Oryctolagus cuniculus: one gene and its partner. The protein of the gene in region 2 purifies or fractionates together with the protein of the main gene of each other region. This does not show direct contact. Links are inferred from orthologs where the notes say so. Each region holds a gene or a part of one and is shown on either strand. Other genes may lie near its edges. The genes, in order: OCLN and TJP1.

Evidence for each region.
Region 1: the proteins of TJP1 (region 2) and OCLN purify together in Homo sapiens (affinity purification with western blotting; 4 studies listed by BioGRID and IntAct, with this or other methods). This does not show direct contact. The link is inferred for Oryctolagus cuniculus from reciprocal best matches to the Homo sapiens genes TJP1 and OCLN.

Annotation. Positions count from the first base shown.
Region 1 is NC_091445.1:90,487,990-90,495,776, reverse strand, and holds part of OCLN (occludin), read right to left. Parts: intron 7,366-7,787; coding exon 7,150-7,365; intron 4,802-7,149; coding exon 4,630-4,801; intron 825-4,629; coding exon 783-824; intron 1-782. UniProt on the Homo sapiens protein: May play a role in the formation and regulation of the tight junction (TJ) paracellular permeability barrier.
Region 2 is NC_091443.1:11,171,987-11,179,536, reverse strand, and holds part of TJP1 (tight junction protein ZO-1), read right to left. Parts: coding exon 7,098-7,550; intron 5,212-7,097; coding exon 4,994-5,211; intron 3,052-4,993; coding exon 2,908-3,051; intron 511-2,907; coding exon 416-510; 3' UTR 1-415. UniProt on the Homo sapiens protein: TJP1, TJP2, and TJP3 are closely related scaffolding proteins that link tight junction (TJ) transmembrane proteins such as claudins, junctional adhesion molecules, and occludin to the actin cytoskeleton.

The DNA of each region.
Region 1 (7,787 bases), on a different chromosome or scaffold from region 2:
CCATGTGGGAGACCTGGAAGAAGCTCCTGGCTCCTGTCTCTGGACCAGCCCAGCTCCAGCCACGGTGGCCATTTGGGAAGTAAACTAACAGACAGAGGATCTCTGTCTAGGCCTCTCTCTGTAGCTCTTTCAAATAAATAAATAAATCTTTAAAAAAAAAAAAAGCAAATTTTGGAACAACCTAATTTTAGTTGCCCACAGAATGGATGAATGTGTTGTGTCTTATTCCTCAATATACAGCAGTAAATGAACCACAACTGCATGCCAAAACATGCATGGATCTTACAAACACAAAACTCAGCGAAAGAAACCACAAACAAAATACACACTGCATGACTCCACTAAAACCAAGTTCAAGACAGGCAAGACTAGCCTGTGATGTCAGAATTCAGGGTGGCGGCTAGCCTCTGGGGAGTGTGTGAGGGCGGGGAGGGAGCCGCAGGTGGGAAGCTGCCAGAGGCCCTGGGAGACGCAATTCCTCATGTGGGTGCTGGGAACACCGTGCACGGTCCCTTCACGCACACTTATCAAGCTGGGCATTTTACCTGGGTTTGCACACTTCTCTATGTGGACACTTAGGCTTTCTGAAGAAGTGTCAAAGAAATCAGTATTGGCTGCAAAAGCTGCAGAGAACTGAGGTCGAGTTTGCAACTTTGTCTCAGTGTACAGGGCCTTTGTCTGCCACTGGGGCATGCAGGATAAGTCCTTCCCAGTCCTGTCAAAGGCCGCTGGGAACAGCCCCGCCAGGTGCCCCTCAGAATCTCCGCCCCCAGGGCACTTACGCCTTTCACCTGCTTCAGTCGGTTGTACTCGTCAGCAGCCGCCTATTAACGAGAAACACAAACGAACACATTCAGTAAGGCATTTTCTCCTTCAAGAATCACATTCCGGGAGTTATCTTTTAGAGCTAAAAATGGAGTTTGTGGCAAAAACAAAGAGAATGAAAATCACGAAGCCAGCGCTGTGACACAGCAGGTAAAGCCCTGCCGGCAGCCCCAGCATCCCACGTGGGTGCAGGCTCGAGTCCCGGCTGCTCCACTGCCAGGCCAGCTCTCTGCTGTGGCCTGGGAAGGCAGTAGAAGATGGCCCAAGTGCTCGGGCCCTGCACCCGCGTGGGAGACCGGAAGAAGCTCCTGGCTCCTGGCTTCAGAACGGCCCAGCTCCCGCTCTGGCAGCCATTTGGGGAGTGAACCAACGCACGGAAGACTTTTTTCTTTCTTTCTTTTTTTTAATTTATTTTTATTTTTATTTATTTTTTTGACAGGCAGAGTGGACAGTGAGAGAGAGAGATAGAGAGAAAGGTCTTACTTTGCCGTTGGTTCACCCTCCAATGGCCACTGCGGCCGACGCGCTGTGCTGATCCGATGGCAGGAGCCAGGCAGGTGCTTCTCCTGGTCTCCCATGGGGTGCAGGGCCCAAGTACTTGGGCCATCCTCCACTGCACTCCTGGGCCACAGCAGAGAGCTGGCCTGGAAGAGGGACAACCTGGACAGAATCGGGCGCCCGACCAGGACTAGAACCTGGTGTGCCGGCGCCGCAAGGCGTAGGATTAGCCTAGTGAGCCGCAGCGCTGGCAGACTTTTTTCTTTCTGAATTTGCTTCTCTGTAACCTTTCATATAAATAAATAAATCTTTATAAAAAATCATGAAGTCCTTTTTTAAAAAAAAAATTTACTTATTTTATTTGAAAGGCAGAGTTACAGAGAGGCAGAGAGAGAGAGACAGACAGACAGACAGACTTCTATCTGCTGGATCACTCCCCAGATGGTTGCAATGGCCAGAGCTGTGCCAATCTGGAGCCAGGACCCAGGAGCTTCTTCCAGGTCTCCCAAGCAACTGCAGGGAACCAGGCACTTGGGCCATCTTCTACTGCTTTCCTAGCCTATAGCAGAGAGCTGGATCAGAAGTGGAGCAGCCGGGACTCAAACTGGCACCCACATGGGATGACAGCACTGCAGAACGCAGCTTTACCTGCTCTGCCACAGTGCCAACCCCTACCACAGTGGTCTTCTGTCAGGCACAGCTCTGCTTCAGTTTCAGCTCATGAGGAAACTGGCCTGGGCACCCCACTAACTTCCGTGCTCACCCAGCTTCCTCCCTGCCTGGGCTCAGTGCCCACCACTAGTCGTTCCCTTAGAAAACCCGGTGAAGCAAGGGGTCACGATTTCTACCCAGTTTTCTTTTTAGCTGAAATTCTGCATCTTCTCCCAGCTTTCAGCTTGAGTAATTCTTTTTATTTTAATTTTTATTTATTTATTTCAAAGACAAGAAACATGAGACAGAGACAACTCTTTCTGTCTGCTAGTTCACTCCCCAAAAGGCCTGCGATGGCTGGGGCTGCATCAGGCCTAAGCCAGGGGCCAGGAATTCCATCCAGAGCTCTCATGGAGGGATAGAGACCCACCTACTTGGGCCAGCACCTGCTGCCTCCCAGAGTGGGCACTGGCAGGAAGCTGGAAGGGAAAACAGAGCCAGGACTCAAGCCCAGGCACTCTGATATGGACGTGGGCTTCCCAAGCAGCACCATAACTGCCGTGCCAAACACCTGCCCCCAGAGAACTCCTGACAGCCACGTCTGACTGAACCCTCCCCTCAACTCTGCAGGCCTTCGGCAGACTTTATTTATTTATTTTTTAATTCCCAATTTTTTTTTTTTAGATTTTATTTTATTTATTTGAAATACAGAGTTACAGAGAGAGGTAGAGACACAAAGAGAGAGGTCTTCCATCCGTTGGTTCACTTCCCGGATGGCCACAACAGCCGGAGCTGTGCCGATCCGAAGCCAGGAGCCAGGAGCATCTTCCCGGTCTCCCACGGTGGGAGGGGCCCAAGGAATTGGGCCATCTAGTGTTTTCCCAGGCCGTAGCAGAGAGCTGGATCAGAAGAGGAGCAGCCAGGACTAGAACTGAAGCCCATATGGGATGCCGGTGCTTCAGGCCAGGGCTTTAACCCGCTGTGCCATAGCACCGGCCCCTTCGGCAGACTTTATTGTTTCTCTGGGTAGTTAGTTACAGGGGTTTTCACATGTAATGTGACTGTAGCATTGATCATGCTAAGTTGCTCACATGTCAGATTCTCTCTTAGAATCCAAGTTCGAGGGGCTGGTGCTGTAGCGTAGTGGGTAAAGCTGCTGCCTGCAGTGCCAGCATCCCATATGGGCGCAGGTAGAGTCCTGACTGCTCCACTTCTGATCCAGCTCTCTGCTAATGGCCTGGGAAAGCAGTGGAAGATGGCCCAAGTGTGCCTGGGCCCCTGCACCTGCGTGGGAGACCTGGAAGAAGCTCCTGGCTCTTGGCTTCAGATCAGCTCAGCTCTTGCCGTTGCAGCCATTTGGGGAGTGAATCAGTGGATGGAAGACTTCTCTCTGCTTCCGCCTCAGCCTTTCTGTAACTCTGCCTTTCAAATAAATAAATAAATATTGAAAAAAAAAAAAAAAAAGAATCCAAGTTCAATTCCCGGCTGCTCCACTTCCAATCCAGCTCCCTGCTAATGTGCCTGGGAAAGCAGCGGAGGATGGCTCAAGTCCCGGGGACCTTGCACCCACATGACAGACCCAGTTAAAGTTCCTGGCTCCTGGGTTTTGAAGGCCCAGCTTGGACCATTGTAGCCATATGGGGAGGGAACCAGTGGATGGAAGATATCTCGATTTCTCTCTCCCTCTGTCTCCATAACTCTGCCTTTCAAATAAATAAATCTTTAAAAAAATCTGTTCATAGAGGATGACACTTAAGTAAACTATGGCACAACCATAAAATATCAAAATAGTATAGCTATTTTTACATATAAATTTTTTTAAATTCTTATTTATTTATTTGGCAGGCAGAAAGAGAGAGATCTCCATTCACTGGTTTCTTTTTCAAATGCCCACAACTGTCAGGGCAGTCTGGGAACTCAATCCTGGTCTCCCATACGGGTGGCTGGGACCCAACTATTGAGCCATCACCACTACCTCCCAGGGCCTGTGTTAGAGGCTGGAACCAAGAACAGGGACGTGCATGTCCCTAGCAGCGTCTCCAGGCCAAACACCTGCTCCTACATGTAAAACGATTTGAAAGTCAATCTTTATTTTGATACGAAATGATTACCATAAACCACTGCTGAGGGAAAGATCAGGAAAAAAGCAGTGCCACAAAATATTTTTTTCTGAAAAAGAAAAACAGGGTCGGCATTGTGGTGTAGCTGGTAAACCCGTGGCTTATGTCGCCAGGATTGGGATCCCATATGGGTGCTGGTTCAAGTCCCAGCTACTCCTCTTCTGACCCACCTCTCTGCTATGTCCTGGGAAAGCAGTAGAGGGTGGCCCAGGTCCTTGGGTCCCTGCACCTGTGTGGGAGACCTGGAAGAAGCTCCTGGCTCCTGGCTTTGGATCAGCACAGCTCTGGCCATGGCAGCCAGCTGGGGAGTGAACCAGAGGATGGAAGACACCTCTCCCTCTCTCTCCTCCCTCCCTCCCTTCTTCTCTCTCTCTCTGCGTAACTCTGACTTTCAAATAATTAAATAAATCTTAAAAAAAAAAAAAAAAAGACTATCATCGAAGCCTGAATTTCAATCCATATTTCAAGCAAATACGTGTGAGCAATAGTACAAAGTCTACCACATCTACCAGGCAAGTGCGGAGCCTGAATTTACCATGTACTCTTCACTTTCTTCTCTGTAGTCATCCAGTTCCTTATCGAGACGGGAAAGCTCTTTATTGACCTCGTCGAGCTCTGCTTGCAAGCTCTTGTATTCCTGCAGGCCAGTGTCAAAATTCCGCTTGTAGAGTTGTCTTTGCTGATCTGATGTGATGGGCGGATACTCCCTAAGAGACGAGAGGGGAAATGACCACATGCAAAGACAGACGAAGCTCCCTGGCAGACGAAGACCCCGCACTGCTTGCTCTAAGGTAAGAAAGCTGGCGGCAGAGGGAAATGACATTCTTTTCTTTTCCTTTCAGTTCTAACAGAGAGGTGGAGGTGGGATACAACTAATTTATACTCACAGTCTCATTTTATGTATTACTGCTCACCCCTACATAATTTTTAGGATTCAAGGTAGGCCGGCGCCACGGCTCACTAGGTTAATCCTCTGCCTTGCGGTGCCGGCACACCGGGTTCTAGTCCCGGTCAAGGCACCGGATTCTGTCCCGGTTGCCCCTCTTCCAGGCCAGCTCTCTGCTGTGGCCCGCGAAGGCAGTGGAGGATGGCCCAAGTGCTTGGGCCCTGCACCCCATGGGAGACCAGGAGAAGCACCTGGCTCCTGGCTTCGGATCAGTGCCGTGCGCCAGCCACAGCGGCCATTGGAGGGTGAACCAACGGCAAAGGAAGACCTTTCTCTCTGTCCCTCTCTCTCACTGTCCACTCTGCCTGTCAAAAAATTAAAAATAAATAAAAATTAAAAAAAATTTAAAAAAAGGATTCAAGGCTAAAGACACAGGCACTCTTATTCTCCGTCCACAATACCACACGCTAATGGGATACTTGGGTTTCAAGTCCCTGAGCTGGAACTGTGGAACCCAAAGCCTGTGTGGACCGTCACCTGGCAGCACAGCCGCCCGCGAGGGCTGCTTCCCGCCATCACAGGCCGTTTTCAGGCTGTTTAATTTTAGGTGTTGTTTTTCCTAATTGGAAAAAGTTTGTTTGGTCCTTTCATTATAAAAGTAGATTTTGGCCGGCACCATGGCTCACTTGGCTAATCCTCCGCCTGCGGCGCTGACACACCGGGTTCTAGTCCCGGTCGGGGCGCCATATTCTGTCCCAGTTGCCCCTCTTCCAGGCCAGCTCTCTGCTGTGGCCCGGGAGTGCAGTGGAGGATGGCCCAAGTGCTTGGGCCCTGCACCCCATGGGAGACCAGGAGAAGCACCTGGCTCCTGGCTTCGGATTGGCACAGCGCTGGCCGTGGCGGCCATTAGGGAGTGAACCAACGGAAGGAAGACCTTTCTTTCTCTCTGTCTCTCTGTCATGGTCTATAACTCTCTCACGGTCTAACTCTGCCTGTCAAAAAAAATTTTTTAAAAAAAAGTAGACCTTAAAAATGTACATATATAAAAACGTGTGCTTGCTGTAAAAAGCATCTGGTAATTCACAGGCGCATAAAGGAAAACACTCTCTCACTTCTATCAGCCTCTGAGAGGACTTGCAGCGGTTCAGGAGACGAAGGAATTTCAAAGTTTACTTGGTGTGGAAATACTGAGAAATCCACTCACGGCTGCTGCCTAAGTTTTCCATGAACGAGAAAACCGCGTCCGAGCGGCCCCTCCTGTGCAGAGGACGCTGCTCCTGCTACCGCACCTGCTGTGTGTGTGTGACTGTGTGAGTCACACACAGAAGCGGTGCCTTTCTAACGCTGGGTCTAACAGTCCAGTATCTCCCTTTACAGGGGAGAGAACGCAAATGATCTGATTAAGAGAGAAACAAGAACTCAACATTCCGGAGACTTTTCGGTTACATTTGCTGGATACAACCTGGGCAAATATTTTAGACCTGATGGCTGTGTCAGCCCAAGACGGCAGGGGGCAAGGAGAGATGTGGGCCCAGAAGCATCAGCCCCCACAGCATCTCAAGTCCCCCACGCCCCCCACCCCCGACCCTCCCCACGGCCCCCACCCCCAACCCTCCCCACAGCCCCCACCCCTGACCCTCCCCACGGCCTTGAGAAACAGCCTGAGTCTCCCTCCAGCGCTGTGTCGCCGGCCTCAGAGTGCACTGATGGTGGCAAACCCCTGACAGAGAGGAAGTGAAGGAACCGCTACTTCAGTTGTTTAAAGAAATGTTTCTTAGGATTCCTTAGATGAAATCTTAAAAGAAACTCTGGTCTTGTCACCAAAGCTTAACTTAAAAGTCATGGCCAGAGGGAAGCTGGGAATTTTATACCCAGCAAAACGAAGCTCCTCTGTTTTAGGAGCTTCTTGGGGTGAGCGGTGGTGAAGACAGAAGTGCCGGGGATGTCCATGAGCTGTTTTTGGGGAGCAGCTGAGACTGAAGACATGGGCACAGCCAAACACATCCCTGCCACTTCAATCTATTACAAAAGCACACTAGGTGAAAAACAACAATAAAACATCTGGGGGGAAATAAAGTCTCCAGTTCCATAGGGCAAAGAAAAAAAAGAAGGGAATGGGCCGTGCCCCCAGCTTCAGGGGACGCCACGTCGGGGGCGGCCGCCCCGTACCTGATCCAGTCCTCCTCCAGCTCGTCGCACGACTCGCCGCCGGTCGTGTAGTCCGTCTCGTAGTGGTCTTGCTCTGATCTCCTGGGCCTGCCTGCTCTTCCCTTGGCGGGAGGCCTTTTGGAAGGTGTCTCAAAGTTACTGCTGCTGCTCAAACGAGGCTGCCTGAAGTCGTCCATGGATGACGTCAGCGGAAGCTCATGAACCACCTCGGGTACCCTAAGAAAAGCAGGGGAGTCTTGGCTCAGTGAGCTCGGGGCACCCCATGTCCCCTGCCAGTGCCCTGCAGCTGCAGATGGCACCAGGAGACGGCTCCAGGCAGGTGCGTGCACTCCAGGGGGTGACACCTCGCTTCCTGTGTGCGGAATCCTCCAGGACACCTGAGGAATGGATCCATCGGGCTCCGATTTAAAAGGAGCTTCTATGAAAGCTTCCAAGAAGAACGGATGCCAGATTCCATTTTAGGAAGTTGAGGCTGATCTGCAGGAGCTGCTGACCTGACGGGTTGGGGACTCCTCCACAAAAGGCTGTCGGGAAGATAAGGATCGCGATTCTTCTCCACAGGTTCTTCCAGTCCCACCCAACACTGACTGTGGGAGCTTATCTCCTCATACTATTAATTGTACACTACCCACATCAAT
Region 2 (7,550 bases):
AAAATAAAATATGTGTGTTAGGCCAGAGCCATAATAAAGTTTGAAACAATGTACTTTGGAAATAACAGAACTAAATGCACCCCCATTAGTGGCTGGTATTTTAACGGAAATCAGTATGTGAAGTGAAGCAGTGACCATAAAAACAAGTACAAAATCATTACAGAGCAAAGTATCTTTGAACCTCCAGCCAATAGCAAGAGTTCTTCAGTGGCAGACATGCAGTTTGCGGCATGTGTTCTGCTCATGGTTCAGGGGCATGCGCACAGTCTTGACCAGTCCAAACAAATGTTTAATATGAACAAACTGTAGTATCAATTCTAAGAAAAATAGAATACTTGATAGAGTGGTTCCATTTTAGACTTGGTAAATTTAACCCAGCTTCACATTATTTAATCAAGTTCCTGTAGCTTCAGAATTAAAAGTGGTCAATCAAGACAGACACACAGTTTGCTCCCACAAGGTAATTTGGATCTCCAGGAAGACACTTGTTTTGCCAGGTTTTAGGATCACCTAGGAGAGAAAAAGAAGCTGACGTCATTTAGTTGCCTAAATTGCTATGCATGATGCTTGCAACTAAGGGACAAAATGCAAGTAGATACGTATTTAAATACGCTTTTCCCTTGTCACTTCAACACACTGTACTTACAGCAAAACTCTCGGTGCTGCCCTTCAATGCAGATTTGCTGGCATCTGTGATTCAAAACGTTCAACAGTCTTCTCAAAAATGAGTTAAAGGACAACCATGTGCCTGAGGTAGTCTCAGCTTGTCCCTAAGTTCCAATGATGAACAACATCTTTCTTCCACTTTCACATAACAACCGATCACCCATTTGAGCTGAGTACATGAGCACATCACTCACACTCAGCTACAGACCAACAAACCAACCCTGAAAGTTCCACAGAATCTCGTTCCTAAAGACCTTCTTACTCCTTAAAAAAACAGGACAAACAGGAAAGCCAAAGGGAAAACCCCAAACAAGCCGACCAGGAAAACTGTGCCGTAGTAGCTCAGCTGTGACTCTGGTTCAAAACCATTCACAGAGCTTCCAGAACTGCCCATGCAGGTCCGAGGCAGGTCTGGGGCAGGTCTGGGGCATGTGAGTGCTGAACAAGCTCCTGGGGATTTCACATTTGTAACCAGAGCTAAGCACCCCCGGGAGTGGGTACTAAATGAGAGAGTGCTGGGATGACTAAATGTCTCTTTGGGATCTAGGTGCATGGACAGTCAGAACTGTTGACCTTCGGTTCCTCTGCAGCAGTAGTCTCAGCTAGGAGTGATTCTGTCCCCAAGGAGCCATATCTAGGGATTTTTTTTTTTTTTTTTTTGGTTACAACTTGCACCTAGTGGGTAGAGGCCAGGGAAACAGCTAAACATCCCAAATACAAAAGACAGTCCCTACAACAAAAGATTATTTGGCCACAATGTCAACAGTGCCACTTGGTGCACTCTTGCCTACATCAGCCAGCTACATACTTACTGCCTAAGTATTATCTGAAGTCAATAGCATTTCATGATGGGATGAACAGTTAAAAATGATGGGATGAACAGTTAAAAAGTGATTCAATTTCTTCGATATACGAATATAAAGGCTATGTTACACCATAGAGAACAAACTGTTCAGGCAATGAGATACACTTAATGGCACCACTTTTAAAGGAAATAAAATAGGTATCTCATCTTTAGGCTCCAGTTTCTTCACAAGAGACTAGTTTTTGTTGGAGTCATCAAAATCTACACTGACTTTTTGAACAGAAATTTATAGTAGCAATGCAATCTATAGTCACACAGTATTACATCAATAACACTTATTTTCTGGGTGAATATACTCGAATTTAACAAAAAAAATCTAACCAAAACATTTTATGTTATGGCATAAAACAATGGAAGTAGCAAATGTGCAAATCACTTATACTTCAGATAGGACCACTGACAAAGCAGGCTAACTACCAAGGTGGTTGTTCAAGATATCTGCCCTCATCTGGTGTGGAGGGCAGTCAGAGCCTGACTTTTGACTTCTGGAATATAACCTTTAAATGCAGTTTTATTAATATTCCTCCACTAACTGAACCTACACTAAAGAATATTTCTCTGGGGAGTCCCTGAGAAAATTTATGTTTATATATATATATATATCATTTTTTTCTGTTGGATAACAATAAAATACCTCTACTACAAACTTTAGACCATAACCTTTTACTTCATATTGTACCAAACTAAAACCAAGCAACGCACTCAACAATGCCCAACTGATTCACCAAAAATTTAGAAGCAGAATTTTAAATTCTTATTTTTCTATCTGGTTCTCATAAAGTTTTCTGTACCAAAAATAAAGTTCCAATGGGTAACTGACATAAGTTACTGAAGGAAACAAGAAATATCAAAATGCAATGGAAGCACTGATATTATGATCTTAAGAGCAAGAAGTAATTTTAAAATGACATATAGTAGAAGTTTAATGTAGAGTTTTACATTGAAAAATTATGGCCAAGTCTGATCCCAATGGAAGATCTTTTGTCATTGGAGTTTTTCTGGTATATATACTTTGCAGATTAGGAAATTAAAGAATGGTAACCAGAACTAGAATTAACTACATAAAACGACTGCATACATAGCACAGTTCACAGCTCTCCCACTGTGTCCTGAAACCTCTCACAGAACAAATCATTTTGGTGACCACCACGGAATAGTCAACTTTCAACCAAATTATTTCTTCAAAAGGCAGACACTTTACTCTGCCTTTGCAGACCTGTTGACAGCACATGTACCATAAATCAACCAGTGATGCCTACAAGGCCACAGGAACAGAGGTGGAGATTCGCTAACAAACAGCACAGGCAACATCACCAGCCTAGGATTAATCAACGACAGTATCCAAAGCCCCAAAGGACAGAGTGAAGACAGCATACCCGACGAGGAGTCGGATGATTTTAGAGCAAAAGACCAACCGTCAGGAGTCATGGACGCACAGTGTGGCAAGCGCAGCTCCACGGGCTTCAGGAACTTGAGGCCATGGGGCCCGCACATCACTAAGGGGCTTAGCAAGGTTTCACCTGGAGTGAGGGAAGAGGAGAGTGCACAGGTTAGATGCCAGTCTTCCTTCCACACTCGGTTCTTCCCACCCCCTCCAAATTACACACTTTGAAACCAAGTAGGGTTAGTTCTCTACAGCACTTCTGACCAAGGAAATTGTAATAGAAATCATGAATATAATTAAAATTTTTCCAGGAGCCACAACAAAGTAAAAAGAGACAAGTGTCATCAATTTTAGTATTTGCTCAACTCAGTATAACCAACACTATTATTTCAACTTTTAATCAATACTAGCTTTGAAATCAGTGTATATTTACATTTCTAGCAGATTTTAATTCAAAACAGTGCTAAATAGCCACAAGCTAACGCATGCAGTCATATGAGTCCTATGAGTCTGTAGCAGAAAACACTGATGTGCACTTTTCACAAACGTTACTACTTGTACCTTCCATTTTAACTACTTTTCTATTTTACAGGAAGGGTGAGAGCAAGAAAGAGTGTTCTCACTTGCTGGTTTACTCTTCAAATGTCACAATGACCAGGGCTGGGCCAAGGCCAAAGCCAAGAGCCAAGAACTAATCCAGATCTCCCACATGTATGAGTGGTGGGTCCTCCACTGCTGGGCCCTCACTGCTGTCTCCCAGCGTCTCCTCAGCTGAACCAGGAGTCAGAGCTGGGAAGTGAACCCTGGTGCTCTGATGTGGGACGCAGGCACCTTAACCAATGTCTTGACTACTAGGCTAAACACACATTTTAACATTTTGCTACAAACATGGTTTAAGGGGTTCATACAAGGATAACACAGTCAGTCCTATTGTTTTTTTTTTTTTTTAAACAAATTACCCTAGAATGCGATCATAGAATCAGATGTTAGGAAAGAGAGCTAATGCAACGTAGTGAAACACTGCTGAGAGACTGAGAGATGTGAAGAAGCTCTTCAGCAGTTCAGCAAGGCAGCAGCAGCCTGACAGGCCAGGGAAGGCAGGAAACTGACAGCATTCCCGTGCTGCTTCGGCAGCACAGAAACATGCAGTCCCACCCTCAGGATGTTTCATTCACTCAGCAGAGCGTTCACTAGCGTGAGGCTCAGGAGTGATGAGGAAGACAGCACCTGCCCCAGAGGCTTACCTTCTACGTGTACAGTCAGCCAGCAGGCAGAGTGGGTGTCACCTAACCCATCCACACATATGGAGGGTGTGACCTGATACAGCCAAGACTGCCTGGCAGTCATGTGTGAGGGATGCCGGATGGGCTATCACCTGCCAGCACCTCTGCTTTCATACTGAAAGCACAGTATCCTGCGGAAGGTCCCCATGGTGCTACTCTCTGTGAGCACGTACTGTGTGCCCGCACGGATGGACGGCACAGGCTCTGGCTGGCCCGACGTGCAGGCAGAAGAGAGGCTGCTGTGGTCTCCCTTCGTTGAGCACCGTAAGTTCTCAAGTGCACAGAAGGCAATTCTTACATTATTAAAACTAAGCAGAAACAGAAACATTTATGCAACTGGAAACCACTATGCATAAGCCAGTCCCCAAAAGTCAAATTGATCATGTTTTCTGATATGTGGCAGTTAGTATAAAATATTAAAAAAAGTAAAGGAATGAAACAGACATCTTGTGATAAGACTCTTGTTTTTAGCCCTCGTTTATACTCCTGTGGAACTACAGTCCTCCTAATTTTCACTCCTTGAATATCATGGTTGGTGGTGAATTAAGCCTGTGATTACAGAGCTGATTGAAAGCATGTTTTTGCAAAAATTAAAGACAAAAAACGAAGGAAGGAAGGAAGGAAGGAAGGAAGGAAGGAAGGAAGGAAGGAAGGAAGGAAGGAAGGAAGGAGGGAGGGAGGGAGGGAGGGAGGGAGGGAGGGAGGGAGGATGGTTATCTTCTTAGAACTGTACCTATGAGATACATGAGATCTATTCCCTTTACATTAATAAGAATCAACAAAAGCAGCATCTACCTTTCTCTTTATCCAAAGGTGGGAGGATGCTGTTGTCCCGGCAGACCTTGAAATAGATTTCCTGCTCAATTCCTTCGGGAATGGCTCCTTGCGGGATAATTATACTGACGCCGGTCTCTATGGAGCTCAAAACCCCACCATTGCTGTTAAATATGCCTCGGGCTGTGGCCACCACAGTGTGCCCATCCTCGTCTTCATCTTCTTCCACAGCGGATGGGCTGAGAGTGAGAAACGGCTAATGAGTACACTCCCAACGCCATGCAGGCAGTTTCTGTTAGGACCACTGCAGGAGGTGGCTTCCCTTTGTTCCTCTATATAACCAGTATGCTTCTTACATTAATAAGCAATTAGTGATGATTTCCCTCAGTTATAGATACCTGTGTTTACATAACTATAAGAATGTATTCTTATCCACTGTATTTTTGAAGGTAACTAGACAAGTCACATTCATTACTGATTTTGCAATCTAAATGTAAAAATTTGACACTGTGTTCACCCAACTACTAATAACATTTAAAAAAAAATATTTACTTGAAAGGCAGAGTGACAGAAAGAGGAAGAGGCAGGGAGACCCACCACCCACTGGTTCACTCTGCAAATGTCCACAGCAGCCAAGGCTCGGCCAGGGCAAAGCCAGGAACTCTATCTGGATCTCCCACATGGGTGGCAGGGATCCAGGGACCTGGGCCATCCTCTGCTGCCTTTCCAGAAACATCAGCAGCAAAATGGATCCAAAGTGCAGTAGCTGGGACTTGAACTGGCACTCCAACATGGGATGGGGCTGTGCCACTATGCAGCTTAACCCACGGCGTCACAATGTCCACCCCAAGCAACACATTTTAACATCCATGAAATTGGTGTTTTATAGCTGAGGGTAAGCCGCATTTTAATTGGTAGCATTCTTTTCCCTTTCTAACGATACATAAAATAACCGTGCATCTTACAATGGAAAGCACCTTAAAATCTGCTGGGATTCTACGCGGGCACATTACGGCTCCTTCCTCCACACTCCCTGACTGACAAACACCCCTGTTGTGAAAAGCATGGCCTCCAAGGTTCTACGAGGTGAGACTTTGGTATGAATACATCGCATACACCCACAAAACAGACACTAGCTTACCTCGGACAAGAGAACACCAAGGGCAAAGGAATCTGCTTTAAAAATGGAGGCTATCGGGACTTACCGAAGTCACGTTCTGAGCCAGGACTTAAATGTAAGATGACACACGGATCAACAACAAAGTATGTGAAGGTTAACTGAAGCTTCACTCCGGCGAGACGGCCTCCTGCGGCGCAGGCACGCGGCAGCAGAGTCCACGGCCTGGGGCAGCAGCACCATGCAGCCCCTGGCCTGAACCTCATGCACACCCAGAGAGGAGGGCAGCCAATGGACACAACCGTCTCCTCGGGGGAAGCAGACTGCCAATGGCCTCCCTGGGCCTTGGTTCTGCCTCCAAGGGCTTCTGCCCCGAGGCTGGCTTGACAGTTTAGCTGGATTTAGGAGGCTGAGAGATTAGGTGCAGCAGAATGGGCCTGGCGAGCCTCTGTGCAATGGGAAGAGTACTGGAGGCGGCTCCAGGTGGGCTTGCTTTGTCTCACTTGTTCAGCTCATCTTACTCAACATTAACTGTTGTAACAGCCACTTCAATGATACTACATCTTTATTATTTTTAGCATTCTTGAAAAAATGGGGGGCAAAGACATAGATACTCTCCAAACGCACTCCACAAGTAGAAGGCTAGATTGCATACATGTCACTTGGAGGCCAAGGCTCATTCGCACGCTCTGAGCTCAGACAACCAGGGCTGCATCGAGGCTCAGCTCATCGTAGCTCTGAGACTGGGGCAAACTGTTCCCTGTCACTCACCTTCAGCCTGTGGTGAAACAGGGACAGTGACAACACCTACCAACCACAGAGCTATCAGCTTTAGAACTTCACTGACATCTTGGACGTCCCGAGGGGCGTTGTCAGTGATGGCATTTGTGGCAGCACACTCCGTGGAGGTCAGAGTTAAATCATTACAAGTCCTCAATCTCATAACCTAGATCAAACTCTCCTAAGACTAAGTGCAGCCAACATTTCAAACAAAGGCAAGTATCTTACCCCACAGGAGCAGCTCTAGGCACTGTGCTGATATTAGTTACTTGGTACTTGGGCTTCTCTGCATGGATGGAGAAAGTTTCCACTCCACTGTCAAACTCAGGAGGCTGTGTGGAACTGTGCGCTTTCATAAGAGTTTTTGGAGAAGCTGGGGCTTTTGCAGACAAGTCAGGTTTATGTACAGTGTCACCTGGCAGAAGATTGTGGTTGAACTTAGGACTTTCAAATTTGCGCTCGAATGGCCGGGCAGAACTGGTATATGGTTTTGGTGTGAATCGGTTGTAGGCTGGAGTGATGGTTTTCTGAGTCTGTTCAGCTCCATTAACGGGGGCTTTCTCCGGGAAGCTTTTCTGGGGATATAAAGCAGGCTGAGCGGCATCGTCTCGGTGCGGTGCTCTGAAAGCTGCTGGCTTACTCTGAGATGGAGGTGGGTCTGGTTTGGATACCAAAGAATTC